Linked DNA regions of Sus scrofa. The protein of the gene in region 4 interacts with the protein of the main gene of each other region in a pairwise test. Links are inferred from orthologs where the notes say so. Each region holds a gene or a part of one and is shown on either strand. Other genes may lie near its edges.

Evidence for each region.
Region 1: the proteins of C6H1orf94 (region 4) and CFAP206 interact in binary tests that used the Homo sapiens proteins (3 or more experiments, as listed by UniProt). The two-hybrid records come from large-scale screens. The link is inferred for Sus scrofa from reciprocal best matches to the Homo sapiens genes C1orf94 and CFAP206.
Region 2: the proteins of C6H1orf94 (region 4) and GCC1 interact in binary tests that used the Homo sapiens proteins (3 or more experiments, as listed by UniProt). The two-hybrid records come from large-scale screens. The link is inferred for Sus scrofa from reciprocal best matches to the Homo sapiens genes C1orf94 and GCC1.
Region 3: the proteins of C6H1orf94 (region 4) and AES interact in binary tests that used the Homo sapiens proteins (3 or more experiments, as listed by UniProt). The two-hybrid records come from large-scale screens. The link is inferred for Sus scrofa from reciprocal best matches to the Homo sapiens genes C1orf94 and TLE5.
Region 5: the proteins of C6H1orf94 (region 4) and CCHCR1 interact in binary tests that used the Homo sapiens proteins (3 or more experiments, as listed by UniProt). The link is inferred for Sus scrofa from reciprocal best matches to the Homo sapiens genes C1orf94 and CCHCR1.
Region 6: the proteins of C6H1orf94 (region 4) and GSE1 interact in binary tests that used the Homo sapiens proteins (3 or more experiments, as listed by UniProt). The link is inferred for Sus scrofa from reciprocal best matches to the Homo sapiens genes C1orf94 and GSE1.
Region 7: the proteins of C6H1orf94 (region 4) and HNRNPF interact in binary tests that used the Homo sapiens proteins (3 or more experiments, as listed by UniProt). The two-hybrid records come from large-scale screens. The link is inferred for Sus scrofa from reciprocal best matches to the Homo sapiens genes C1orf94 and HNRNPF.

Annotation. Positions count from the first base shown.
Region 1 is NC_010443.5:55,842,011-55,845,510, reverse strand, and holds part of CFAP206 (cilia- and flagella-associated protein 206), read right to left. Parts: intron 2,179-3,500; coding exon 1,985-2,178; intron 1-1,984. UniProt on the Homo sapiens protein: Essential for sperm motility and is involved in the regulation of the beating frequency of motile cilia on the epithelial cells of the respiratory tract. Required for the establishment of radial spokes in sperm flagella.
Region 2 is NC_010460.4:20,700,339-20,704,484, reverse strand, and holds the start of GCC1 (GRIP and coiled-coil domain-containing protein 1), read right to left. Parts: upstream 2,801-4,146; 5' UTR 2,378-2,800; coding exon 1,346-2,377; intron 1-1,345. UniProt on the Homo sapiens protein: Probably involved in maintaining Golgi structure.
Region 3 is NC_010444.4:75,490,928-75,495,007, forward strand, and holds the start of AES (amino-terminal enhancer of split), read left to right. Parts: upstream 1-1,280; 5' UTR 1,281-1,454; coding exon 1,455-1,481; intron 1,482-2,615; coding exon 2,616-2,713; intron 2,714-4,080. UniProt on the Homo sapiens protein: Transcriptional corepressor. Acts as a dominant repressor towards other family members. Inhibits NF-kappa-B-regulated gene expression. May be required for the initiation and maintenance of the differentiated state.
Region 4 is NC_010448.4:90,457,933-90,461,432, reverse strand, and holds part of C6H1orf94 (uncharacterized protein C1orf94 homolog), read right to left. Parts: intron 1,023-3,500; coding exon 325-1,022; intron 1-324.
Region 5 is NC_010449.5:23,555,310-23,559,308, reverse strand, and holds the start of CCHCR1 (coiled-coil alpha-helical rod protein 1), read left to right. Parts: upstream 1-1,199; 5' UTR 1,200-1,342; intron 1,343-1,678; exon of another isoform or gene 1,679-1,889; 5' UTR 1,890-1,929; coding exon 1,930-2,103; intron 2,104-2,308; exon of another isoform or gene 2,309-2,374; coding exon 2,375-2,441; intron 2,442-2,519; coding exon 2,520-2,733; intron 2,734-3,999. Other genes in the region: TCF19 (transcription factor 19), read right to left, coding at 1-32. UniProt on the Homo sapiens protein: May be a regulator of keratinocyte proliferation or differentiation.
Region 6 is NC_010448.4:3,246,116-3,248,564, reverse strand, and holds part of GSE1 (genetic suppressor element 1), read left to right. Parts: intron 1-435; exon of another isoform or gene 436-675; coding exon 676-810; 3' UTR 811-2,449.
Region 7 is NC_010456.5:61,665,146-61,669,093, reverse strand, and holds the start of HNRNPF (heterogeneous nuclear ribonucleoprotein F), read left to right. Parts: upstream 1-1,148; 5' UTR 1,149-1,237; intron 1,238-1,565; exon of another isoform or gene 1,566-1,633; intron 1,634-2,191; exon of another isoform or gene 2,192-2,282; intron 2,283-3,948.

The DNA.
Region 1 (3,500 bases), on a different chromosome or scaffold from region 4:
ACCAACAAAGCTAACAGAGAGCGGAAAGACTGGGCAAAGACACTGCAACTTTTAACACTGGTAAAGAATTAATAGGAGTTCCTGTTGTGGCTCAGCAGAAATGAATCCAACTAGTATCCATGAGGATGTAGGTTCAATCCCTGCACCTTCTCAGTGGGTTAAGGATCCAGCATTACAGTGGGCTGTGGTGTAGGTCGCAGACGTGGCTCAGATCCTGTGGTGCCGTGGCTGTGGTGTAGACCGGTGGCTGTAGCTCCTATTCAACCCCTAGCCTGGGAACTTCCATATGCTGCACCTACGGTCCTAAAAAACTAAATAAATAAATAAAAGATAAAAAAGAATTAATACTTATAATAGACAAGGAGCTCCTGCCTACCAACAAGTTAAAGACAGAAAGAACAGTATAAAAAAAATAAATGGCAAAGGTAATGAAGAGTCGATGCACAGAAAAGGAAACCTGAAATGGATAATAGATGTAAGAAGAAAGGCTGAACCTCACTATCAGAAAAATGTACAATAAAACAGTGAGAGTGATTCCGTCTGAAATTCATCATGTTGGCAAAAATGATAAACCGGAGTAAAAGTAAGTGCTAGCAGGGTCAGTGACAAGCCCCATGAGACCGGAGCTAAACTGATCCCATCATTTTGGGAGTAACCTCCCAGTGGAGCCAAAATTGTAGGACTATTGTTTGGCCCACAGACAGAAGGATACTGAACAGCCAAGTCCAGTCTCACTCCACAACAGGAGAAAGGCCGAATGTTCTGCAGAACTGCATCATCCAAAAGGATGGCTGGAGGCTGGAGGTCACATTGACAGACTGGCAGCCTGGTGTCAGAACAGCAATGCTACAACTTCCAACCACTTTGTCCTTAGCTGACCCCTGCACCCAAATGTTCAGACTCTGCCTGTCACTAGCCCAACCGTCCCCTTACCAGTCACTGCTGGGATCCCTGCTGACCCAGTCAGTTGTACCCAAACCCACCTGCTTCACTGTCTCAGTATTGGCAAATATAATAAACACAGACCATCCATGAACCATGTGTTTCAGGGTTTTATTTTAGTGAGTTTAAAAGAGGGAAATTGAGCAAGAGACAGGATGACAGAGCGATCAAAAGGTGAACAGTGAAAAATGAAAGACAAAGAGGAAGAAAACAAGAATACACAGGAGTAGAACGTGAGCCCCAAAGAGGCAGAGACTATCACCTGTCTTGTTGACTGTGCCAAGAATCGTGCCTAGCACACAGTAAACAGCTCAGTAAATGTCTATTGAATGAATTAACAAATAGGTGCCAACACTCAAACACACCTTCAGATCCACTTTGCACTTTTCAGACTGGTGCAATTTAAACCTGTTAAATGATTTTACAACTCTGTAAGTGACCATGTTATTTGTGCTGAGTTCCTTCAATTTTAGATAAGGAAATACTGTATTCAGTGATTTATCTAAATGTAGTCTTTCTCTTTCAGGTTTTTCTAGCCTGATTCATCAATTTGATTCCTTATCTTGTTTTCACTCATTCTTTGTGGACTTCCTTGGTTTTCTTCTTCAGATATGAACGCCTTTCAGATAACCTGGAATGGTCCCCATCTGACCCTGACTCTACCTGAATGTGGGAACCAGTCTACAGCAAAATGTAACATTTTATTAACTGTACTTTATTTATTTATTTATTTATTTTGTCTTTTTGCCTTTTCTGGAGCCACTCCCGCAGCATATGGAGGTTCCCAAGCTTAGGGGTCTAATTGGAGCTGTAGCTGCCAGCCTATGTCAGAGCCACAGCAAGGTGGGATCCAAGCCGAGTCTGCGACCTACACCACAGCTCACGGCAACGCCAGATCCTTAACCCACTGAGTGAGGTCAGGGATCGAACTCGAAACCTCGTGGTTCCTACTCCGATTTGTTAACCACTGAGCCACGACAGGAACACCTTATTAACTATACTTTAGAATGTTATAAATTCTTAAAATGCCAACCCTCCTTACCTGAGAATATGGAATAAGGGTTTCAAACTGTTGATGAAGTTCTAGTAGTTGAATCAATTCTGCATTTTTTTTGGCTTTTTCTGTAATTGAATCAATATAATTTTCAGGATTTTCTGCAAACGAATATGCAGCATCTCTGGTATTGAAAGTGTAATACTTTTCTTTATATTTCAAAATTCCAATTGCTGGATTTCCTGAAAATTGAGAAAAGGAATTAAGTGTGAAATGTTAAGTGACTCTATGTTTGTAATACACCCATAGAACCATTTCCTATACACTCCGTTTTTATCACTTATGTTTTTATTCAGCTGAAGTATTACAACTAGCAATCTGAAATTATACATTTTGCTAAATTATATTTTATATAAAGTTCAAATTAAATTGATTTTATATATTTAAATATTTTAAATTTTTAAATTAAATTTTATCTAAGAATATTTCACTATCCAGATATAAGTTGTTTAAAAAATCTTTTATGAGAAGCCACTCAGTAAATGGCAGGTTTTTCAAATCTTCTTAAACTTAACTAACATTGTTTTAAAAGTAATCCTGTCAGAACTATAAAAATGAGACATCATTTCCAAAATGTAAATTTGCATGTTAGAAAGTCTTTCCCATGTAAAACATGGATTATTAAATATACACATAGATTGTGAGAATTATATAGGAAGCAGTAACACTGTCTTATTTATTCTTTCATTTATATAACAAATATTTCTTGCCCTTGGTCTTGGCACTGAGGATATAGAAGAAAACAAATTAGTAAATATACCATAGGCCAGAGAGTAATCAGTGCTACAGAAAACAAAAAAACAAAACAGGTTAAACACATGGTACAAGGAAGGAGGGTGAAAATGACATTTTATTTTTATTTTTTGTCTTTTTTCTAGGGCCACATGCATGGCATATGGAGGTTCCCAGGCTAGGGGTGGAATCGGAGCTGTAGCCACCCACCTATGCCACAGCCACAGCAGCGTGGGACCCAAGCCACGTCTGTGACCTACATCACAGCTCACGGCAACGCCAGATCCTTAACCCACTGAGCAAGGCCAGGGATCGAACCCGCAACCTCACGGTTCCTAGTTGGATTCGTTAACCACTGAGCCACGACGGGAATTCTGAAAATGACATTTTAAATTGGGTGATCAGAGAAGGCTGAGTAAAACGAAGGAGCAAGGTGTGTAGCTATTGGGGGACAGAGCTGTCCAACTAGAGAGAAGAGCAAGTGCAAAAGCTCTAAGGTGAAAATGGTCTTGGAATGTTCGAGAACAGCAAGGTCAGTAGGGCTGGAGCAACGTCATCAGAAAAGGCCCCTGACTGGTAGGCCCAGGTAAGCCCTGTGGTCTGTAGTCCCCAAGAGGAGGGGCTCCTACAGAATTCCTCTGAGGCAGTGCAGCTGGCTGCTGCCCAGAAAATAACACAGGAAATAGAAATCATGCAGTACGCAGATCTAAAGTGAAGTAAGACAGAGAAAGACAAATATCATATGATATCACCTATATGTGGAATCTAATAA
Region 2 (4,146 bases), on a different chromosome or scaffold from region 4:
CCTAGTCGGATTCGTTAACCACTGTGCCACGATGGGAACTCCTTGCTTATTATTTCTGCTTTCTCCTCCCATAGGCCAAGCTCCCACAAAGTGTGCTTCCCCAAATCCCATGAAGAAACCATATGACATTCTTTTCCTTTTCCAATATTCCTGGAAGTTCAAAATTGACTTGGGGAGTTCCTGTCGTGACTCAGTGGTTAACGAACCTGACTGGCATCCATGAGGACACAGGTTCGATCCCTGGCCTCGCTCAGTGGGTTAAGGATCCGGCATTGCCATGAGCTGTGGTGTAGGTCACAGACTCGGCTCAGATCCCACACTGCTGTGGCCCTGGCATAGGCTGGTGGCTACAGCTCTGACTGGACCCCTAACCTGGGAACCTCCATATGCTGTGGGTGTGGCCCTAAAAACAGAGAGAGACAAAATAAAATAAAATAAAATTGACTTGGATTTCTCCCCACACTGAAAGGAGACATTGGAAAACAGCATACCTTTCCAGAAAAGGCAAATGTTGACTGCCAGCAATATAAGAGGTGATCTCTTCTGGAAAAAAATCCCTTTACCCCCTTCAGCCACCCTACCTAAAGCCATACACTGCTACCTATACACTGCTACACTCTTATCGTTCACTGCGCAGCTGCCACTGCACTGCTTCAAAGAGCAGAGCTGGTAAGATGCCAATGCCCAGACGCTCAGCGCTATCTGGCTCCAATCCAGCCTACACTCAGGAACTCCACATCCTGTTGGAAGCACATTCTGCAGAAACTGTCAACACCACACAGACAGAGTTTCCTGGTGGCCTAGTGGTTAAGGATCCAGCATTATCACTGCTGTGGCTCACGTTTGATCCCTTCACCCAGGAACCTCTGCATGCCTCGAGCACAGCCCAAAAAAAGAAAAAAGAAAGGAAAAGAAAAACACCACCACACACAGAAAAGGATTTCCCAGGACTCACAAGTGAAACTTTTTGAATGGCATCAAAAATCCACAGTGCATGGAGTTCCCTTTGCGGCTCAGCGGTTAACGAACCCTACTAGGATCCATGAGAATGTGGGTTCAATCCCTGGCCTTACTCAGGGGGTTAAGGATCCAACGTTGCCGTGAGCTGTGGTGTAGGTCACAGACGCAGCTGGGATCCCGAGTTGCTGTGGCTGTGGCCAGCAGCTGTAGCTCTGATTAGACCCCTAGCCTGGGAACCTCCATATGCCACAGGTGTGGCCCTAAAAAGCAAAAAAAAAAAAAAAAAAAATCCACAGTGTAGCCACTTAATTCTAACTACCAAAGGAGGGAAAAAAAAAAAAAAAAAAAGCCCTAATACTTCCCAGGCTAAATGACTAATAATTACCTTCCTCATTTCCTGCTGCAACTGAGCCTGGAAATGGCTCTTAAGGCAAGCGGCCTCTTCCTGAAGCTCCTGCAGTCGGGGGTCCGGCCGATTCTTCTCATCTCGAAGAGCCTGTAGCTCACCTTTCAGCTCCTCCACCTCACGGGTCAGCTGCTTGGTCTGCAGTTCAAACCCTTCCACCTGACCGGCTGCATAGGCCTGTCCAGCCAGAGCTTCTCGAGTCTCTTCCAACCGAAGCTCCAAGTCCTGGCGCTGAGTCCTCTCCTCCTGCAGCAGTTTCTGGAGCTCACGCAGCATCAGGGCATGGTCACTCTGCTCTTGGGCCCGATCATGCTGTTGCGTGATAAGTCGGGCTTTGGTTTCTGCTACCTGCTCCTGCAGCCCCTTCAATTCTCCTTCCAGACGGCCCCTCTCCTCCTCTAACTTCTTACTGGCATCCTCTAGGTCCTGTTTCATCTTCTTTTTGTCAGCCAGATAAGAAGCTTCCATGCGGGACTTCTCCTGGGTGACTGTGGCCAAAGAGCTGGTCAAAGTAGCCAACTGAGTCTTTAGCTGGTGCACTCGTTTGTCCACCTCACCACCTCCAGGCGGTCCATCCCCACTGCTACTGCTAACGCCGCTCTCTGACCCGCTGGCCTCCTCGGACTTTGGAGGTGGTGGTCCACAGGCCGGTCTGTCATCTTCAACCCCAAACTCACCCTTGGTACTGGTGAGACTGGCGGCAGTATCCAAGCTGGTGGCGGTCCCAGTGCTGTCTTCGCTATGAGTGGAGCATCGATCATCCACAGAGTCGGGAAAGGTGAGGCTTTGGGGCTGGACACCTGCAAGGCCCACATCCGCCTCGTGGGATACCGACAGCACCTTAATGCTGGCCTCCAGCGCCTCTTTCTCTTTCAGCAGGCTTTTATAGGCGCGGACTACATCCTTGAGACGTGCCTGGTACTGGAGGAGCTGCTTCTTCTGCGTCTCAATGGTCTCCAGCAGGTCCCTCTTGCTCGGGCCGCCCCCGAAATTCATCCCAAACTTCTCCATGACGGTTCAGGACGGCTTGCTCTACGACAGCGTTCGGACAGGCTGGGAGAGGGTCACGAAGATGTTGGCGGGGGCTGTGAGCGACAGGGAGAGAACTGCCCACCCCCCCCCGCCCCGGCCGCACATCTGCTCCTCACAGCTGTTCGACACCGAATGTGGGGCGCGGCGGGGCAGCCAGGCAGAAGCGTCCGCCAGATCCCTGACAAGAGGGTGGGGGCTGGTCCTATCCTAGAGGAACAGACTGCCAAAGCTCACCAGAGGAACACACTGCCAGGGCTCGGCCCCACTGTTCCAGAGCCGCTCCGTGCCCCGCCGGCACCAGGAGCCGACGGTTTAAGCTGAGCTTAGCCGCATCCCGACTTCCTAACTCTAGCCACGAGTCAACAGCGCTTCCGGGTCCGGCTGGAAGTGACGACAGCGTGACGCATCAGACCCCGCCCCCAGTGAGCGCGAGGTGGGCGGGGTTAGTTCAGCCGGCGGTCTGGAGGCCGTTCAGCTGGGCCTCCAGCTGTTTGCTCCTGGCTAGAGCAGAGCAAGTAAAATCGGGTACCCAGGAGTGATGTTGGTTTGGTGAGGGCGCCTGATTTTGCCCTAGCGAGGGACCAGGACGACGTCGCACCGCGTCCTTACCAAAAACCCGGGTAAACGACGATGTTTGGGGGCTCAATACTTTTGCCCCTAAAGAGCAACAGTTAAGACTCCCATTTAGACCATGAAAATGGCAACCCTTTCGAGGACAGTATTTGGAACCCAGTAGGCGTACAGTATAATAATTATTAGCATCCTTCCTGAGTTCTGAGGTTATTCAACAGAGAGAAATATATATAGCCACGCTGTCCATCCTAAGTGCCAAATATATTGCAGGAAGATCACAGGAATTTTGCTGTTTAGTCTTTATAGTAATTCTGCTGAATGGGTATTATTAGCACTATTTTATAGAGAAACTTGAAGCACAGAGAGGTTAAGTGACACTCCCAAAGTCACACACAGCCAGTAAGTTTAGAATCCTATCAAGATCAGTCCCACTCGCCACATATCAAATGCTGTGCTAGATGATCACCTTGAAGAGATAAGGTCTTGAACACTGTAAACCAGCTATAATGAAAAAGAAATAAAAATCATTATATATTTTAAAAAAGAGAGAGAGAGAAGGTCTTGCCCTCAGGGAACCCATATCTAGAGAGAAACCAGATGTGCAAACACAATTATATGCAAAGGGGTATGGAAGTTAAGAGGAGCGAGGCCTGTTTAGAGGAGACAAGCCTCTCAGGGGAACTATTTTGAGATTTGAATGATGAATACTGATTGCCCATCTAACCGGAGAGGAGGGAAGCATTCCAGGCAGAGAGGAAAACGTACAAGGACTCCTAGGGCATCAGAGAGCCTGGGTCCTCCCGGGGAAGCACTGGGAAGCATTTCAAGGCAGTAGCTTAGGTTTTGTGAAGGAGGTGGCAACAGATGGGGCTGGCAGAGTAGATGAGGACCCAAATTAAGGCATTTGGATTTTATCTTGGGTAATAAGACACTAAAGGATTTTCATCACAAGAGTGGCATCATCAAATCTTGTATGACAAGGTGGAGAAACCGAGGTATAGAAGGCTATTTTCAGTCATGGGGATAAGATGGTAGTGAAATAGAGCAGTGACAACAAGGATGAAAGAGGCTAATTAAAAGAGCTAAAGATGTAGAACTGATCTGACTTGGTCACCAGTAGCTGTGTTGTTATATTTGGATTCTTTGAAATGTGCTCTTCAACCTTGTAAAAGCCT
Region 3 (4,080 bases), on a different chromosome or scaffold from region 4:
AACTTAATGTGCCTTATTTCTGGTTTCTTGGAGGCCTGCTCTCCACAGGAAAGGGAGAGAGATCCTATCAAAGTCCCCATCAGCCCTGTTTCTCCTCTGCCCACCATCTCACAGGGCTCCCATCTCACTCCGAGCAAGCCCAAATCCTCCCTGAGCCCACAAGGCCCTGCACCATCTGTCCCGCCTCATCACCAGCTACAGAATTTGCAGGCCCCAATGCAAAACAAGACCATTCAAAAATTATTAGGAATTTCCAGACCAACACAGCAGATCATCCACCCAAGCAGAGGCCCTTCTGGAAGCCAGGCCTCTGTGCAAATTCCAGAAGCTGCTAGCCCTGCCCCTCTGCTCCCTTTTCCTCTCAAGCACCCCACCCCCACCTGTGCTAGGCACAGTGCTGCCTCAGTACCTTTGCACTGGCTGTTTCTGCCTCCTAAAATAAGCGACCAACCCCATAGCCTACTGGCTCCCTCTCTCGTCTTCAGATCCGCTTAGCGGCCAAAGAGGTCCATCTGAGTTCCCTCTGTTTAAAATCACATCTTCCCGGCCCTCCCTCCTGCTTTCTTTTCTCTATAGCTGTTACCACCATCTGACCTGCCAGGGACCTGGCTCTTTGGCTGGTCTCTCTGTCTTCTGTCTTCTCCACCAGGGTAGGGACTCTGTACCCCCTCCCACCCCCACCTGGCACACAGTAGGCGCTCCATTAATGTGAGTCAAGGTATGGCTCCCAGGAGGTCGGCGGTATCATCCCCGCCTTTCTACGGAGGAGGAAACCGAGGCTCAGAGAAAAGCCAGTGAGCCAAGGTTACAGAGCATGTCCCTGGCACGCGTCCGGGTCGCGCCATGACAGCGCCGGCGGTTTCGATGGGGGCAGCCGGGCCCCAAGCTTTGACCGATGGGGAAACCGAGGCCCTGGCGGTTGCCGAGGCCACCCGGCCGGGAGGGGCCGCGGCGGGGCGGGGGCGCGCGGGCCCAAGGTCACCGCGCCGGCCGGCCCGGGGGAGGCGGATGGGTGGGGATCCGCGGGCCTCCCCGGGCGCGCGCCCCCCCCTCGGCGGCGCGCACGGGGCCCGGGAAGCAGCAGCGGCGGCGGCGGCGGCGGCGGCGACAGCAGCAGGTGGAGCCGGAGCCTCCGCGCAGCCGAGGCCGCGGCCACTGCCGGCGTCGCCGCCATTAGACAATAGGAGCGGCGGCCGGGCGTGCGGGGAGGCGGGCGGCGGGGAGGGGCGGGGAGGGGCGCCGGGCGCGCAGGAAGCGGGGCCCGGGGCGCGCCGGGGCCGGGCGCGCGGGGAGGGGGCGCAGGAAGCGGGCGAGGCCGGGCGCGGGAGGCGGCGGCGGCGGCCCCGGGAGCTGCCGATCGGCTCCGGGACAAAGGCGCGGCCGCCCGGCGCCCCGAGCAGCCCGAGTCGGGGCGCACAGCCGGGGCGCAGCCTGCGCCCCCCGCCGCGACTGACATGATGTTTCCACAAAGCAGGCATTCGGTAAGCGGGGCCCGTCGGCCCGGCGGCCCCCCCCCCCCCCGTCCGGGCCCGGCACCCCCGGTTCCCAGCCCAGCCACCCCCCCCAGCTCCGGGCCCTGCGTCCCCCTACGTCCTGGCCCGGTATCCCCAGTTCCCAGCCGGGGCTATTCCCTCCCCCAGGTTCGGGCCCTGCGTCCCTCCAGGTCGGGGCCCCGTACCCTCCCATATCCGAACCCAGCGCCCCCTCTAGGTCCAAGCCCTGCGACCCCCTTCCAGGTCCCTGCCAGGCCAACCCCCCGCCTCCAGCTCGGCACCTCCCCCCAACTCCTGGGCCCAGTCCCCTCCAGCTCTGGGCCCAGAGCTGCTCCCCCCCCGCAACCGCCGCCAGCTCCGGGTCCCCCTCCCAGCTTCCGGGCCCAGAGCCCCCCCAGGTCCCCTTTTGCCCCCAGCTCAGAGCACGCCCCAGACCCTGGACCCTGCGCACCCCCACCCCAAGCCAGGCTGGGCCTCGCTGGCCTTGGCCTGGGGCCTGGGGCGCCCCGGGAGCCCCACTAGGCACCTCTAACGCTGGGGCTGCTTTTGGGGCCTGGGAGTGGGGGAGAGTCAAGGCGCACCCCTCCCGGAAGAGCGCGCGGCCTGGAGGAAGGGTGCTAGGAATCTGGGGTGGGCCCCCGCACCCCCGGAAGATTTTGGGCGCTGAGAGCCCCCTCTCCCAAGGGGACTTTGCCAGGAAGCCTGCCCCCGCCTCCCAGCTTTGGGGAGGGGGATTCACTAGGACGCGTTCTCCCCCCTCCCTGAGGCAGTTGGGACGCTCAGACGTGCAACCCCTCCCGGCGCTGTGGAGGCGCGGTAGAGGGCGCACCCTACCCCCCACCAAGGGCGGCCCTTCAAATGCACCCCCACAGCCTGGGGGTGGAGGGGGACGAGCGGCTCCGGGAGCACCCACCCTCCTTAGCTTCTCGGGGAGAGGCGGGGGCAGGAAGCGAGGGCGGGGGCCGAGCCAGGGGCTGTAAACACAGCCAGGGAAGTGGGGCAGGGTGTGGGGGGACGCTGCAGCTGCGCAGGCCGCAGCCTGGTGGAGGGGGGGCGCCCTCAGGGAGGAAGGTGGGTGGCGGCCCCCTCCTGGTCCTGACCCGGGCCGCCCCCTCCCCACAGGGCTCGTCGCACCTACCCCAGCAACTCAAATTCACCACCTCGGACTCCTGCGACCGCATCAAAGATGAGTTTCAGCTCCTGCAGGCTCAGTACCACAGGTGAGCTGAGGGCTGGTGGTCCCTGCCCTGGGTGAAGGTGGAGCCCCCTGCTCAGAAGGCAAGACTGAGGCCTGGAGCTGAAGTTGTGGTCCCTGCTATACACACAGAATGGGGGGAAAAAATCGGTATTGAGTGTCTCATGTGGCAGACCAGGTCTCCAACACTTACGGATATTAAATTCATTTAGTCTTTAGGACAGTCCCATTTCATAGAGGAGAAAACTGAGGCACAAGAATTTAAATAATTTGCCCAAAGACTCAGCCGTCTGGTTTCCAAGCCCCTCTCCCCTCCCCCACCCCCACCCCAGACTGCGTTGGATAAAAGACCTCCCAAGAGCTGGAGTTGGGGGCTGGATCTTCCATCGCCCCACCCACCCCTCAAAAGAAAGTCTATAGCTTGTTATCTCTTTGCCTAGTTTTGGAGAAAAGGTTTCTGGCACCCAGCAGCAAGGCGATGCTCCCTCCAGAATTTAATCTAACATTTCTAAAGGGCTTGCCATGTGCCAGATCTAAGAAAAAGGAACTATTATTATCTTCATTTTACATTTAGGGAAACTTAAACCCAGAGGTGATAGGGGTTTCCTGGGGTTGCCCAGCAGGGAAGTGGCAAAATGAGATTCTCACACTCAGTTTCTGGGTTGAAGACTGCAAAGTCTCAAGCCTTAGCTCCGGAGGGGGTCTTTGCTTGAGAATCAGAAGGGGGTCCATGGCCACAGATACCAGTGGGGTCTTGGGCTTTCTCTGGACCTCAGTTTGGTCACACAAAAGTGTTCTATGAAGGATCCTGAGTTTTCTCCAAGAAGAGATAGGAATAGTGAGATCTGTTTTTCCTTTGGGGGTGTTCCTATCCTCCCCATTTGCCAAATACTGAACATACATCCTTTTATTGAATCTTCCCTGCTTTTTGATCATATGCCCATTTCAAAGTGAGGAAACTGAGGCAAGGTGGTTGAAGGGCAGGCCCGGGAGCTTTGTTCTGGTCCTGTGATGTGGAGGGTTTAGGAGCTTTGCTTGTCAGGCCTGGCCTTTCTGAGCCTCTCCAGGGGTCCTACCCTCCCTACCTGGCCCTTGCTCTCCTCTGATCCAATCTGGCTGGCCGATCTGACTCCAGAGACTGAGGGTCAGGTTGCTGCCTCATGCTGTGTGACCTCAGGTAGGCCAGGCCCCCTCTCTGAGCTTTGGAGTCACGATCCGCTGGGCCTGGGCTTCCTGCTATACAGCGAGGAGTCCTACTGTGTTGGGGACTGGTACAGTATCTGCCAGTCCCTCAGGAAGGGCCAGAAATGCAGTTTGGAATGAAACTGCCTTTTTTTTTTTTTTTTAACAGTGGCAGCAACTGTACATTTTTAAAGAAAATTAGAGAAGCCA
Region 4 (3,500 bases):
GCTTCCTTCCATTGTACCTGGGTACCTGTGGATTCAAAAACCAAGTCAGTTACCAAATGGGCCCATCTCTCTTCCCAGAGCACGTTGAATTCAGGACCACAGGACCTGCCTGCACGAGCCAGGCCCTGTATACAGGCATCCAGCAGAGGAGGCCTGTGGGGGCTTGAAAACAGCCTGTGCCTGTGGACCCAGCTCACCCTCGAGGCCGTCTCTTCCTACTTTGCACAAAGAGGCTGCCTGTGCCTGATGCAGCCTGACTCGCTTTCCAGCAAGTTTCTCCTCCCTGCAGACGCACTCCATAGCCCTGCTGCCAGTCCCACTCACCCATCAAGTGGTGCCCCTCCATGGCGGGGTCAGCCTCGGGCTTGGAGCAGATCTTGGCAAACACCGGGAGCTGCTTCTTTGGAGCTGGGAGTTCGAGGAGCTTTTCGAGCTTGTCGGGAGGCCTGGGAGGAGGGGGAGGCGGCAGCAGCAGGAACGGGCCCAGCCCCGCAGGCTCCTTGGGTCCAGGGCCAGAGAACATGTTGTTCTGCAGGAAGTCTTTGATGACTCTGGTTTCCTCCAACACCACCTTGCTGTCGGGGGCCTTGGACGTCTCAGGGGACTTTAGTGGGAACTGGGCCAGGAGCTTGCTGATCTCCAAATTGGAGGCCCCCAGGCCATGGCCCCGATCCTCCGTTCTCTTGGCACCCTTGACCTTGGCAGCACGCAGGATGCCCGTGACTGTAGATATGGCAGAATCGCAGTCCTGCCGGCTGCCGACAACAGACACGGCCACCTTCGGCTCCAGAAGCTGGTCACCGGTGATGATGGAGGCCCCCGGGCACTCACTGCTGCCTGCCACCAGAGAAGGCACCAGAAGGCAGGGAGCCGGGGGTCGGGGTCCCCCGGGAGGGCTGCCGGGTGCCTCTAGCTCTCCCGAGCTCTCTGCGATTAGGATGAGGTGCTCTTGGGTGAGGTTCAAGAACTCCTGCTCCACCAACAAGGAGATCTCATCTTTGCCACTGGTGAGCTCCAGAGCCCTGCCAACAGGTCAGAAAGAGGCGGCTTTAGTGCTAGCTCACTGAGGGTGGACCTGCAGATAGGGTGCAGGCCCCAGGGAAAGGCGCTGGAGGAAACACGTTTCCAGGTATGAGAAACTGACAGCTTTTTTTTTTTTCCCTTAAATGGCCACACCCACAGCATATGGAAGTTCCCAAGCCATGGATATCGCAATGCCACATCTGAGCCACATTTACAACCTATAACCAGCTGGCCACAACACTGGATCCTTAACCCACCAAGAGTGAGGCCAGGGATGGAACCTGCATCCTCAGAGAGACTCTGTCAGGTCTTTAAACTAATGAGCCATACTAGGAACCCCTTATTGCTTTTTAGGAGAGAAAATGGACCACCAGTGGACCCCAAGGGGTTTCTACACCACACCACTGGGCACAGTACCAAGAGCTTGGTTCTGGGAATCAAGACACTTCCCGATACCGCATCTTGCTGAGCTGAGCCGAGCCTTAATTTCTATCCATCTCTCTCTGTTCTGCTGTGCCCAGGACTTGAGCAACAAAAGACCAGCAACATAAGGGCCAGGAGTGAGCCAACAGCTCTGAGCGTGGCGGCCAGCGTGCTGGGGATGAGTCCTGGGGGGCCCTCACAGGCACCGCAGGATGGCTGGGTGAGAGCAGGGGCGACAGCTGGAGCTCACAGCCTGGCTCCATCACTTCCCAGCTCTGCGACCTTGGGCACGTTGTTCAGCCTCTTGGTACCGCTATCTCCTCACCTGGTTAATGGCATATCACGGAGCCTTCAGACCGTGTCTGGCACAGAGCAAGGGCCACACAATTCCCAGCTAGTATGCCTAAGCTCCATCAGCCTGGCTGGTCCTCTGGATCCTGAAATTTGCATGGTGGCTCCGTGGATACCCGTGTCCTCCTTGGCTGCCATGGCCCTTTGACCAGATGGCCGCCTCTGCACTGGGCCCCATTTCCTGGGAGCACTAGCAATTTCTTGAGCCCTGCACTGATTCACAAGCATCTCCCTGTCTCTAAACATTGGTCTCTACCTGCACCTCAGACCCAGGGCCCCCAGCTGGACCCTCGATGGCCGGCATCAGCCTCATGGAGCCTGAAGGTGCCATGGACTCTAGGCTCCTGACTGCCGGCTCTCTCCAGGTGTCGGAAAGCATGGCTTGTGGACCAGCCTGCCTCACCAGTGTCCTCAGCAAGGGGGAACCTTCCTCCTGGCTCTCCCAGAAGGACCAGGGTCACCCAGCTTAGAACCATCTGCTCTCCCTGCTAGAGGTGTTCTCAGGAAGAGGGGATGAAGTGACCTGCACAGAACATCTGGAAACTGTTCAGCATTGTACCCCTGGGAGAAGGTGGTGAAGATGGTGAAAAAGAGGCAGAGGGACAAGCGAAAGCTTCCCAGGAGTGGAGCTCTGGGGAGGCCCCAAGGTACATTCCTGCTTGGACAACCTGTTCTGGGGGTGCAGTGAGTCCCCCAAATAATGGCTATGGGATGCTCCCAGCAGCGACATGCCTCTCTGGTACTGCTCCATGTCTGAGCACACACCATACACATCCACACCCACCCACACCCACCCACACCCACACATGCAATACGGGTAGACAGTGAGACACAGTCACCACACAGAACCGGGGGCGGGGGGGCCCGTCACCGCATCTGACAACCAATCAGAATAGGCCCAGGCTATGTTTCAGATGTGCAGGGCATGAACCCCTTAGTTGCTGGGGCCTGTTGAGGCCCAGGCGTCCTGGAAAAGGTGCTGGCTGGCCAGAGCACTTGGGAAGCACAGGGAAGCATTTAAAACATGGGAGCTTGTCACTATTCTAACAAACCCAGGCAGCAGGGCCTCCTGAACACCAGTCCTGCATGTGGCCTCACCGGGCCTGGAGGCAGCCAGTGGGATCAGGAACCGCAGACTCTGGCCAAACAGACGGCAGACAGAATTGGGTACCACTGCTTACTTCATGGCAGACTCCAGAGGCTTGGAGACTCCCCTGTGACCTGAGTAGGACCCAGACCCTGGGTGGCAAGAGAACGTGGTGGGGTCGCCCCTGTGCGGGCCCAGCACAGACACACAGGAAGCACTGGGCAGGTCCACTCAGTCTCTCCCTCCACCCTGCCTTCGGTCCTATTCCCATCCTTTCCTCCTCCCCACGTCTAGACTTGGTCTAGAAGTCGGCTCCCCACTCCCCCATCCACTGCTGTGTCCCTAGGAATAAAGAGGCTGCCCCATGTTCTAGATTCTGTCTTCCTCTCCATCCTCCTTCTCAAAGGGAACCAGGGAGTCTCAGGTCACAGAAACCAGCCATTTGAAGGACATTTTGCCTCTTCCCCACCTAAAAATTGCAACGTAACCTGTATACCAACAGATTTTCTGAATTAGAAACACTGACCCCAATTATGCTAAGTTTTAAAATTCAGATAATGGGGAGTTCCCCTTGTGGTTCAGTGGAAATGAATCTGACTACTATCCATGAGGACAC
Region 5 (3,999 bases), on a different chromosome or scaffold from region 4:
CCTATGCGCAGCAGCTGGAAGCAGGGCAGCATGGGCGGTGCCCCCTCTGCACCACCTCTTCCACTTCAGGAATCCATCACTTCCCAATCCTGGGCCATGCACAGCTGGCCTAAGTTCTCTTTCCCTCTGATGCAGAGTTGAACTGTGCTTTGTGCAATCTCAACCTTGGGCACGCTCCCCGAATAGTGTAAATTCAGAGTGCAAGGGCCTAGGATTCGATGCAAGATTGGCTGTCAACAGTTTTCCAACTGAAAAATTTCGTGAGGGTCCCAGTATAGTGCAAAGACGAAGATGTCCTATGGCACGAAGTTGAATCAGATCCTCAGGCTGCAGAATATTCCGGGAGCCTTCAAGTCTGTGCCAGGCAACAATACGTTAGGCAGCTTCTGGGGAATATGCGAATTGCAAGGGGGGAGGACTGGGGTCCTGCTTCTGTGTGATACTAACTTGTCACCTCAGTGTAATTTGGAGAAGTTTCCTGTCAATTCTGCTAATCCAAACAGAGTAACCCACCTGCTAGCCTGCGCCTCGCTCTTCTGGCCAACCCCTCACTCATAACTAGATAGCTTAAACCCCCGTGGGAAGTCTATCCACTGTCATCCCTCCAAAGGCAGTGCAAATGGGTCTCTATGTTCTCTAACAAAGCGGATCTAAACCCCTGCTTCCCGACTTCTCCAGGTGGGATTAAAGACAGGATAGGGCTTCCCGGGATCATGCGAGGGAAACCCAGCCTTTTCCCTCCCCGCCGCAATCCAGATTCTTATCTACCGCGAGGTGCAGTCTCGAAGCGGTCCCCTCTCCGGGCAGTGCCAGCCTGTGCGGCAGCTCAGGATCTCTCAGGCTCCGGCCAGGGCTGGTGCTCCAGCGGCTGTTTGACAGCGAGGAAGCCGGGGCCAGGAGGGGCGCCGTCTCCGCGCGCGGGCAGTACCGACCCCGCCTTCGGAATTCCCGGGTCTGAACTTCGCGCCGAGAGAGCCCGCCCCCCGTGCCGTTTCTGATTGGCCATCTCTTTTGCCCTCCTTCTCTCCATTGGGCGACGCGCTGGGAGGGTCTCCGATCTCCCGCCTTCCGCTTTTTCTGATTAGTTCACAAGTTTTCCCGGGTTCCCGGAGTTGGGAGGAGCCGCCAGGGCGCGGAGATGCCCTCAGTGCCATAATTGGGCCGGGCTTTAGACTACCGCGCCTGCGTACACCTCTTCCCCTCCTCCTCCCGGAAGGGTGAAGGGCTTTAGAGCGTCCCGCCAACCTGCCCGCTTTGCGCAGGCGCGGTCAGGGGCTGAGGCCGCGCTTCTGAGCTAGGGGTAGGGGGTGTGGTCAAAGGGCAGAGGGGTCGCTCGCGCTGGGTAAGGGGTATTCGGGAAGAGTCGGTTGGGGGCGGGAAGGGCCAAGAGGGGGTGCGGGGGTGGGTTCAGGGGTCCACAGGGTGGAGGGGTACAGGGTCCGGGTAAAAGGACAAATGAAGTGGTCAGAACAGCCCTAGAGCTCCTCGTCCAGCAGGGCGAAGGCTCAGGAGTATCTGCGGGAGAGGCGGGAGGGAGAGCAGGCAATTGAATTGAGAGATGAGCGTGGGGGACCAGAATAATTCCTTCTGGATCAAAGCAAATTAGGATGTAGGGAGGGGCATAGGAATCTCAGATTGGGGGGGGGAATAGATGGATTCGGGTGGGAGGGTGGGGAGATCTTGAAGAGCCGTCTCTTGTCTGGGGCTCTGGAGAGGCTGGTGGGAGACAGGAATGGAAACTGAGAGGACAGTAGAGAGAAACTGAGCAGGGAGTTGCTGGAAGGGTTTGGATGAGATGACTTTTCTGCCAAGGGGTCTAGGCTGCCTGGATTCCCTGGGGGCCCCATAGGTGTCCTGCTCTACATGTAGCCATGCTCATCTGGGGCCAGGCTTTGGATCAGCGCTTTGATAAGGAAGGACCCAGGAGTCATGGCTTGGTGGTGTCTGGATGGGCTTCCCCAAGGCCTTGCTGAGCCATGGAGAGAACTCCGGCGATTGGGCTCACAGCCCCTGCACCGCACACCTTCGTCATCTCCATCCAGGAACAGCAGAGACTGTAGAAACTTAAGGAGGAGGGTAAAGGCACTGCCCAGAATTCTACAAGTATGAACAAAACCTAAGAGCTTCCCAGCCTGTCTCAGTAAATTTGTTCCATCTCGTGGCTGTTGCCATAGTTCTGTTAGGAACCAGATTGAGACAAGCAAGTGATTTTCAGATATTTCCTGCTTCTTTTGGGAAGTAGGAAAAGAGGAGCTAAGAGTCGGCCATCCCTGGCTGTTATTTAAGGCTTTTGACTTTGCTGTTGTAGGGGCTCTCTCTTTGGAAGGGGGCTTGAAAATTGAATTGGAGTGTCCTTGTTTCTCCTATTGTCCAGGAGAACATAGATGACTGGACACAGAATCTAGAGACTTCAGATGATATGGAGATGTTTCGACGTTCAGGTCAGTGGGATCTTGCAAGGGAACTGGTGATTGTGTCCCCCTGGGAAACTGACCATCTTTGTCCTTACGATTCCTCAGGTTCCACCAGGCTGATACCCCCATCCCACTTCCAAGCTCGGCCCCATCCAACTCTGCCGAGAATGGCTCCCCCTTGGGTCTCAGACATTCCCTTGGTCCAGCCCCCGGCCCATCAAGATGTCTTAGAGAGGCTGTCAGACAACCAGAGACCTCAAGTGACCATGTGGGAAAAGGAAGTTTCTGGCAAAGGGCAGGAGCCAGGGTGGCGAGGCAGGTAGGGATCTCCTGTTGCTGTTTTCTCGGGCTTGCTTGCCACTGTCCCTTCTTCACTGAAATAGATTCCTTTACCCTATTTCAGCCCTTCATTCCATGATTTCTTCATTTGTACATAAGCAATTGTTGGTGCCTACAGTGCACAAATAATAATAAGATGATGTGCTTGATGCTAGGGACAGGGGTATCAAAACTGAAAAAGAAAAAAGAAAGATCCTGATATCATGGAATTTAAAATCCTAAGGGAAGGAGTTCTCTTGTGTCAAAAGGGTTAAGGATCCAGCCTTGTAAGTCCAGTGGCTCAGGTAGCTGCTATGGCACAGGTTCGCTCCCTGACCTGAAAACTTCCACATGTTGCAGGTGCAGCCAAAAAAGAAAGAAAAAAAATTCTAAGGGAGGAAATAGGTTGACCCACAGCCGATTGTATTAAGCGTAGAATAAGGTAAGATGCAGTACCTGCGGGGAGAACAGGCCATGTGCTGTGGTAGCGAGGATTCGTCCTGAGGGAGCTGTCCGTGCCATCTGTCAGTGTGTTACCTGTGAAAATTCTCATTCTTGATGTTTCATGGGTGTCTTCTCCCAAATGTATTGGAACGTCATCCTGCCATTTTGCTCAAGAGCAGGATTGCAGATGGGTCGACCTTGGATCCCATCAAAGAGAAAAGAGCATGATGACAAAAGGGGAGCACTGGAGTGAGAGTCAGACTCTTTGTGGCTAATGTGGCTACCAGCTGGGAGTCCTTTGGCCGTCACTTAATGACTCTAGGCTGCAGATCTTTGCTTCTTGAACAGCAACAAAAAAATGCTGTTCTGGGCCTCAGTGAGGAAGCTGTGTCAAGAGCCATGGGATAAGCTGGTTTAAACTTTATGCGACACCAGTAGACTGGTTGAGACTATGTAATTTATTGGAAGTGCTACCCTCTCAGACATCTCATGAGTACCTAACACTCAACTGATTTTTTTTTTTTTTTTTTTGACTGCCCTGAGGCATAGTGAGTTCCCGGGCCAGGAACTCAGATCTGAGCCACAGATGCAGCAATGCCAGATCCTTAACCCACTATGCTGGGCCAGGGATTGAACCTGCATCCCAGTGCTCCAGAGATGCAGCCAATCTATTGTTCCCCAGCAGGAACTCAATATATGACTTTCCCCTAGCGTCTGGCCCTGCCATATTGACACTGGAAGTTGTGACCTCTCTTTGCACCTTCCTCAAACTTTTCCTCACCCTTAAATCAGAATTCAGAAGTCAGAGTTCCCATCATGGCTC
Region 6 (2,449 bases), about 87 Mb from region 4:
GGTCGCAGATGCAACTCAGATCTGGTGTGGCTGTGGCTGTGACATAGGCCGGCAGCTGCAGCTCCAATTCGACCCCTAGCCTTGGAGCCTCCATATGCCACAGATGTGGGCCTAAAAAGACAAAGACAAAAAAAAAAAACCCACCCCACATAGCATGTTTTGAGGGGAAATCCTGCTCCTGTGCGATCAAAGCTTGGCGTCCTAAGGGGAGATTCAGGAGTCAGCCGAAGGCCCCAGGTTTAGCAGAGTTCCGCTCCGGGAGGGTGACGAAGCTCTTTTCCCTGCCGCCGAGGGACATGAAGCCCTGTCTCACCCTCCCTGCCTGTGATTTGCTAAGGAGCAAAGCTGTTGAGGCCAGACGGTCCCCCACACACCTGCAGGCCCTGCAGCCTTAACCCCCCTTCCTCCCAGCCCGCAGGGAGGGGGCAGGGGCACCTCTCGGCTGTGGGGCCGGGCTGGTGTGGGCACCTCCGGCTTGAAGCTGCTTCTGTGGGCATCCAGGCCTTGGGGGCACAGCTGGACCGGTCCTTCCCGAGGCCGAGGCTGCTGTGGGCCAACCCGCCCTCTGCCGCCCAGCATGCGCAGTGCTGAAGGTCGGGGGCGCGGACCCAGGCGCGCAGCACAACCGAGAGAGGTCTGCAGGCGTTTGTTTTACACGCGTTTCCTTCTCTCCAGGAGCTGAGGAGCCAGAAACAGAAGATTGTTTCAGAAAGGGAGCGCCTCCAGGCCGAACTGGATCACTTACGGAAGTGCCTTGCGTTGCCGGCCATGCACTGGCCCCGGGGTTACTTGAAGGGGTACCCCAGGTGACGCTCCGTCGCACGAGGCCGAACCTAGAGTAGAGAAATAGTATCTATTTTATTACCTTGAATATTTAATATTTTTCACTGGGAGGTTTGAAGCTTAAAACAATGAGAATGTGCCATGCATGAAGCAAAGGATTCCAGGCCCCAGAAAAAGAACGGACTCGCCTCGGCTTCCAATGCCATTCAGTCGTCTTGGTCATCAGCCAGCAGCCACGTAGACGCCCCTAGTTTTTCTTTCTGGAGGTGGTTTTAGTCTTTCCCCACGTCATCGTTGTTCAGCTGAAAGCGGACGCTCCGTCACCAACACTAACACGTGGTCCTCTCTCGCCCCTGGGGTTGTGTGTTCCGGAGTCTGGAGCAGGAGCGGCCGCTCGGCTCCCGCTGCGGTGGGCGCGGGTCTCGGTCCTCGGGGCCGGAGGGAGGCCTGCTCCAGCTCCCGGAAGGTGGGGTGCGTTTTAAGTTAAAGGGCTTATTTGTTTCAGTTACTTTTCCGGAAAATTCCCTTCCAAGCACCAGGTCCTAGGAGCACACAAAGCAGCCGTACTGAAGCCTCAGCCCAAGGCTTTTCCCCGGAAAAGCTCTCACCTAGAGAGAAAGCCCATCAGCCAACGGAAGGTACCTTTTTGTCACTCCACGGGCACACGCGCAGAGCTCTGTGCGTGCGTTGAGTCACAGCCACGGATCGTTCCTGCCGTGGGGGGTGTTTTCATACAAACGTCAATTTTGAGAGAATAGTCAAAGGTGCTTCAGCCTTGTACTGTGTATATATATTAAAAAACAAAGTTTTGTATGTTTTTATTACTTTAATTATTGTTATAAAAAGCCTGCCATTTTTAATATGTGGTTTGGGGGGATTTTTGTTGTTTTCCTGTTTGGGGGTTTTGTTTGTTTTTTGTTTTGTTTTTCTGGGCAAAAAAGAAAAAAAAAACCCTTGCTTTTAGTGTTTGTACTGCTGCTGGTCAGGACATTAAAATACTGAAGTGTTTTTAAAAATTAAAAAAGAAGAAAAGTAAAAGAGCTTACCACTGGCGCCTATGCGGTCGCTTCATTTCCGAGTTGCCACCAGAAAGTGCCGTGGAGCCGCCACGCTGCCGCTTCCCTCCTGCTGGCCCCTCCTGGCTCCGGATGGCCGAGAGCCCCTGGGGCCCGTTGCTGTCCAGCGAGGAGGGGCGGCTCGAGGCCCTCTGCGTGCCGTCACGCGCGCCCAGCACAGCACCCAGCCCCGGGCTTTGCTCAGAGGCCCTTTCAGGAAGTGAGCGGTTTCTGTGCTAGGTTCTAGGGTGTCTCACAGCAGTCGGAGAGCAGGTGCAGAGTAGAAACGTTAGCGGCTTTTTTAGAGGCAGAGCTTTGTAACAGCCTCAAAGTGGGGTGAACAATGAGCAGAACGTCTCCCCCTCTTGCACCTGCCGTGACAGGCACAGGAGCAGCTGGACAGGGATGACCCGTGTGAAGCCTGGGGCGGGGAGAGGCGGGGGCTTCCCTCTGAGCCCACTTATTGCTTGTTCAGGCAGGGTTTGAGCTCAATCAAGAAGGCATCTCTTGCCTGAAGGGCCTGAACCAGAGACCAGAGCAGCCAGGGGTCAGTCAGCCTTGGGGGCGAGGGGAGGAAGCTGGAGCCTTGCACTGCGGGCGCCCCCTGCCCT
Region 7 (3,948 bases), on a different chromosome or scaffold from region 4:
CCACAGCTCACGGCAATGCCGGATCGTTAACCCACTGAGCAAGGGCAGGGACCAAACCCACAACCTCATGGTTCCTAGTCGGATTCGTTAACCACTGCGCCACGGCGGGAACTCCTCGCAGGCCCTCTTAGTGGATTGCATGAATCTGGTTTCACAGTCCCTAAACCCTGAAGCATCTTTTTTTTTGCAGGGGTGGGGTCGGGGGTGGGGTGGTAATTTAAATATTTGCCTCAGATTAGCTACTTGCACTTTCTTTCCATAAACAGACTTTTCTATACCATGAGCTAGCATGGGATCATTGGGTTTCTTAAGAATACCTATTTGAATTTTGTAGGACCTGTTTTCCGTAATTATGCTTCGCCTGAGTCTTCTCATACATTTTTACCTCCTGCTTTTACTTTTCCCATCCCTCCCAAATCAACTTCTTTTGACAAACTGTTCTCCTTCCTTCACTATAGGTTGTCCATTCATAATCTGACCCTATTCCAAGCACTCCCTTAATTTATTTAAAAAGCAACCTGCTTAATCAGTGATGAGTTTCTTTATATTTTCCTCTTCATGAATTGAGTCTCCAAAAATAAAATGGTAATAATTAATAATCCTAGAACACATAAAAAAATAATCTGCTCCACTGCCTCAGGCAGAGTAGCCACTTCAGCTACCATCCACCCTGTCGCTCAGGTGCTCTGAAATGTCTGCTTTTCCCTGGGGACTTGAGGGTCACCTTCAGAAACCTTAGGCCTTCTCAGCCCAAGTGATAATCACATGAGCAACCTCAACCTACCAATCCCTCCCTAAACCCTGCTCTCGGAACAGCCTTTGTCGGTTTCCAGGATTTGGTTCCCTCTTTCTTCCTCCTCGGCAGGAAATGACTCTCATTTTCTTCTGTCACGCTGGTCTTCAATCCAGGGATCCTTTGGGCTCACTGTTGGGGAAACTCTCCCAGATGATACCCTTAGAGACGCCGGAAAAACCCATAAGCCTTGCCCTCCCCTCCCTCGAGCAGGATTCGCCCACGTAACCCACCTTGCCACTTGCAGCGCCCTCGCACCGCAGGCCCCGGCCCGGTCCTGCGCCTGGCCGACCAATCCCCGACTCCGCTCCGGGCGCGTCACAACGGCGCCCTTGTGGCCCCACCCCCATAACCCGCCTTGGAGACTCCGCCCCGCCGCGGTCTTTACGTCCTTCCGGCTCCGTCTTGGAAGTGGGGTTGCGCCGCGTCTTTCAGGAGCGAAAGGTGGGGTTCTGCAGAGAAAACGGCCCGCGGTCACGCCGGCAGCCGGAGGCGGGGGCGGGGGCAGGGGCTCCTGGGGCTGTTGTTCCCGGGTATTTGGGCGCAGGTCTGAGGAGGGGAGGGTCAAGGCAAACCAAGGCATAAGGGCTTCCGGAAGCGCCGCGTGCGCACGACGGGCGGGAGTTGTGGACTCAGGCCTTCCGCGCGCCTGACCCCGCCCCTCGTAAGCCCCGCCCAGGGCGCGCTGCCAGAGGTTTCCATAGTGATGGTAAACAAGCCTCAACTGCCTCTGCTACAACTGCCAAGTCCCCCGCGTTCCACCCTCTTCTAGGTGCTCACAGGGTCGACCGAGGTGCCGGATGTGAAGACGAGCGGGAGCGTGGAGACTCGGAGCCCAAGGTGAGGGGTGGTAGGGGCGGCGTGTCCGAGGCCTACACACCAGAAACCGAGGCCCCTGGCATTGAGGACCGAGGAGCTGAGATTTGGGGGTCAGGGGAGGCGGGATCTGTGGTAAAGGCCTGCACCTGGGCCTACTGGAGGTTGAAGACCGTGGGGCTGAAATTTGGGGTCTGAGATCAGGAGCCACACACCTAGGGACCGACTAGGTCCTGAACGAGGACCTGGCCCACTGAGGGTGGGGCCTGCGGGACTGAGATGTGAACTTCGGGGAGGTGGGCCTGAGGCCACTGGTTTACATTCGGGGACTGGATCGCGGGGCTGAGGTTTGGTGTCAGAGGACGCAGGATCGGAAGGGAGGAAGAGCCTGGTGCGGACTCTTGGGGTGGGGAGGCAGAGCCCGAGCGCCCCTGCCTGGGGTACGGTGAAAACATGGGGCGACCGTGAGAGGGGGTTCATTTAAAAATGAAAGCAGTACTTTCACGTGGCTGCGCGCGTCAGGGAGTTGCACGGGACTGGTTGGGAACTGACTCCTCCCCCCTCCCACGTTCCCGCTCGCAGAGCCTCCACTTTCCGTCTTTGCGGCCTTTTCTTCCTCTCCGCGCCGCGTGTGTGCCCTGAGCCGGTCTGCATTTGTCTCCTGCTCTCAAAGGTAGCATGTGGATATTTTGGTTGAAACTGTTCGGTTCTTGTTGTCTTTGCCTGGTGCCCACACTTCCGCTGGGGAAACTTGGTCGGCCGTTTTTTTATTCTTCACTTATCCTTTTATCTTTGAGTGTATTTTTGCTAATTCGTGACTGCGCCCCAGAAACTGCTGGACGCTGCCGGCGCTCGCGCGGCTCCCTCTGCCTCCCAGCCCCCGCGTGGCCCACGTAAGGTGGCGCCGAGCGGTCTGGGTGACGCCGCGCGAGACGCGGGGCCCGACCGACCCTGGGCCCCGGTGTTTTACGGTTAGGAGGCCTCAAGCTCCTCCCGGTTAGTCTTTTCCTTATCAGGGGACCCCCACAGGTTCCCGCCGGACGAACCTCAGGCCCGGGAGAGCCTGCCTCCCTTCTCCGGCTACCTGCGAGCCCCGCGAGACGCCCTTCGCGGCAGTTTCCTTCCCTTGGAGGCCCTACGACAAACCAACGTGCTTCACAGCTATTTTCGAGCCAGAGAACCTGGCGTGGGGGGAAGGAGTTGCCTGCCTCGGCGGGCGGGTTGTTCAGCGGGACCGGGGCCCGAGAGCTGCTGTGGGGGTGGGGGAGGGGCCGGGTGGCCGCGGCGGCTTCCGCGGAACCGGCCGCGGCTGGCGGCGGTGGGGGGAGGGGGGCCCAGGCTCCCAAAGTTAGGGGCGGGCCTCGGTAATCGGACCCTTGTAGAGCCGGGAGAGTTAGTTGAAGGCTGCAAATAATCCTTAAACGAATGCGTCAGCGAAACTACCGGTCTTGATATTCTTACTATTACTTTTAAGTCACGTTTTTAAAAGTTAACTATTTGTGCGTTTCTAGTAAGAATGAACAAACCTCGGGTTCTCCGGTCAGACAAAAATATTAGGATCTATCAGTGAAAAGTGATGTTTTCAGTTCTAATGAAGATAAGCTCCTTCATTTTAAAATAAGTAAATTTACTAGTTAAGCAAGTTCGGCCTTTGCCTCGGGGAGCTCCTCTTAATAGTATGCGTTTCTGTAAATTGATTAGATTTATTCTTTCCGTGTTATAGTCTACTTTTTAATTTTTAACTGCTAAGCGACTGATTTTCACTTGAGTATTGTTAACGTACCTCCCTTATAAAGTAACTCAAGTAAAAATGAGAATGGTTTAAGGGGAGGGATTGATTAAACAGGAGGAGAGTTAGTCCTTTGATAAGGTCAAAACTGGGGAAGACAACAAAAGACAAAAAGACAAAAAACAAAAAGACAAAAAAAAAAAAAACTGGGGAAGAGTGGAGACACACGTGGTGCGTGCCCTTTGGAGTAGTGCCTGGTGGGGCTACAGAAGTGGGAGGGGGGCCCCCCATCGACAGAGGTGACTTTCCCATCAACCTCCCCTCTCCAGTCTGAGTTTTGGCTCTCAGACTCTTTGTGGAATCACACTGATTGGCCCTCAGTAGTCCAGACACAGAGCTAGGTGTTTTACACTTTTCTAATCACATGCCCGCGATCAGTCCATAAGGAGATATTACTGCTATCCCCATCATACAGATGTGTCCTAGAACACATCTGGGACTGTTCTTAAGTCTGTCTGACGTGGGACATCCCTCTGCCAGGACCCCTGCCTCCAGTTAGTTGCTCTGAACAAGGGTTCTTGTGGAAGACAAACGATTGGGCAGAGGGAGA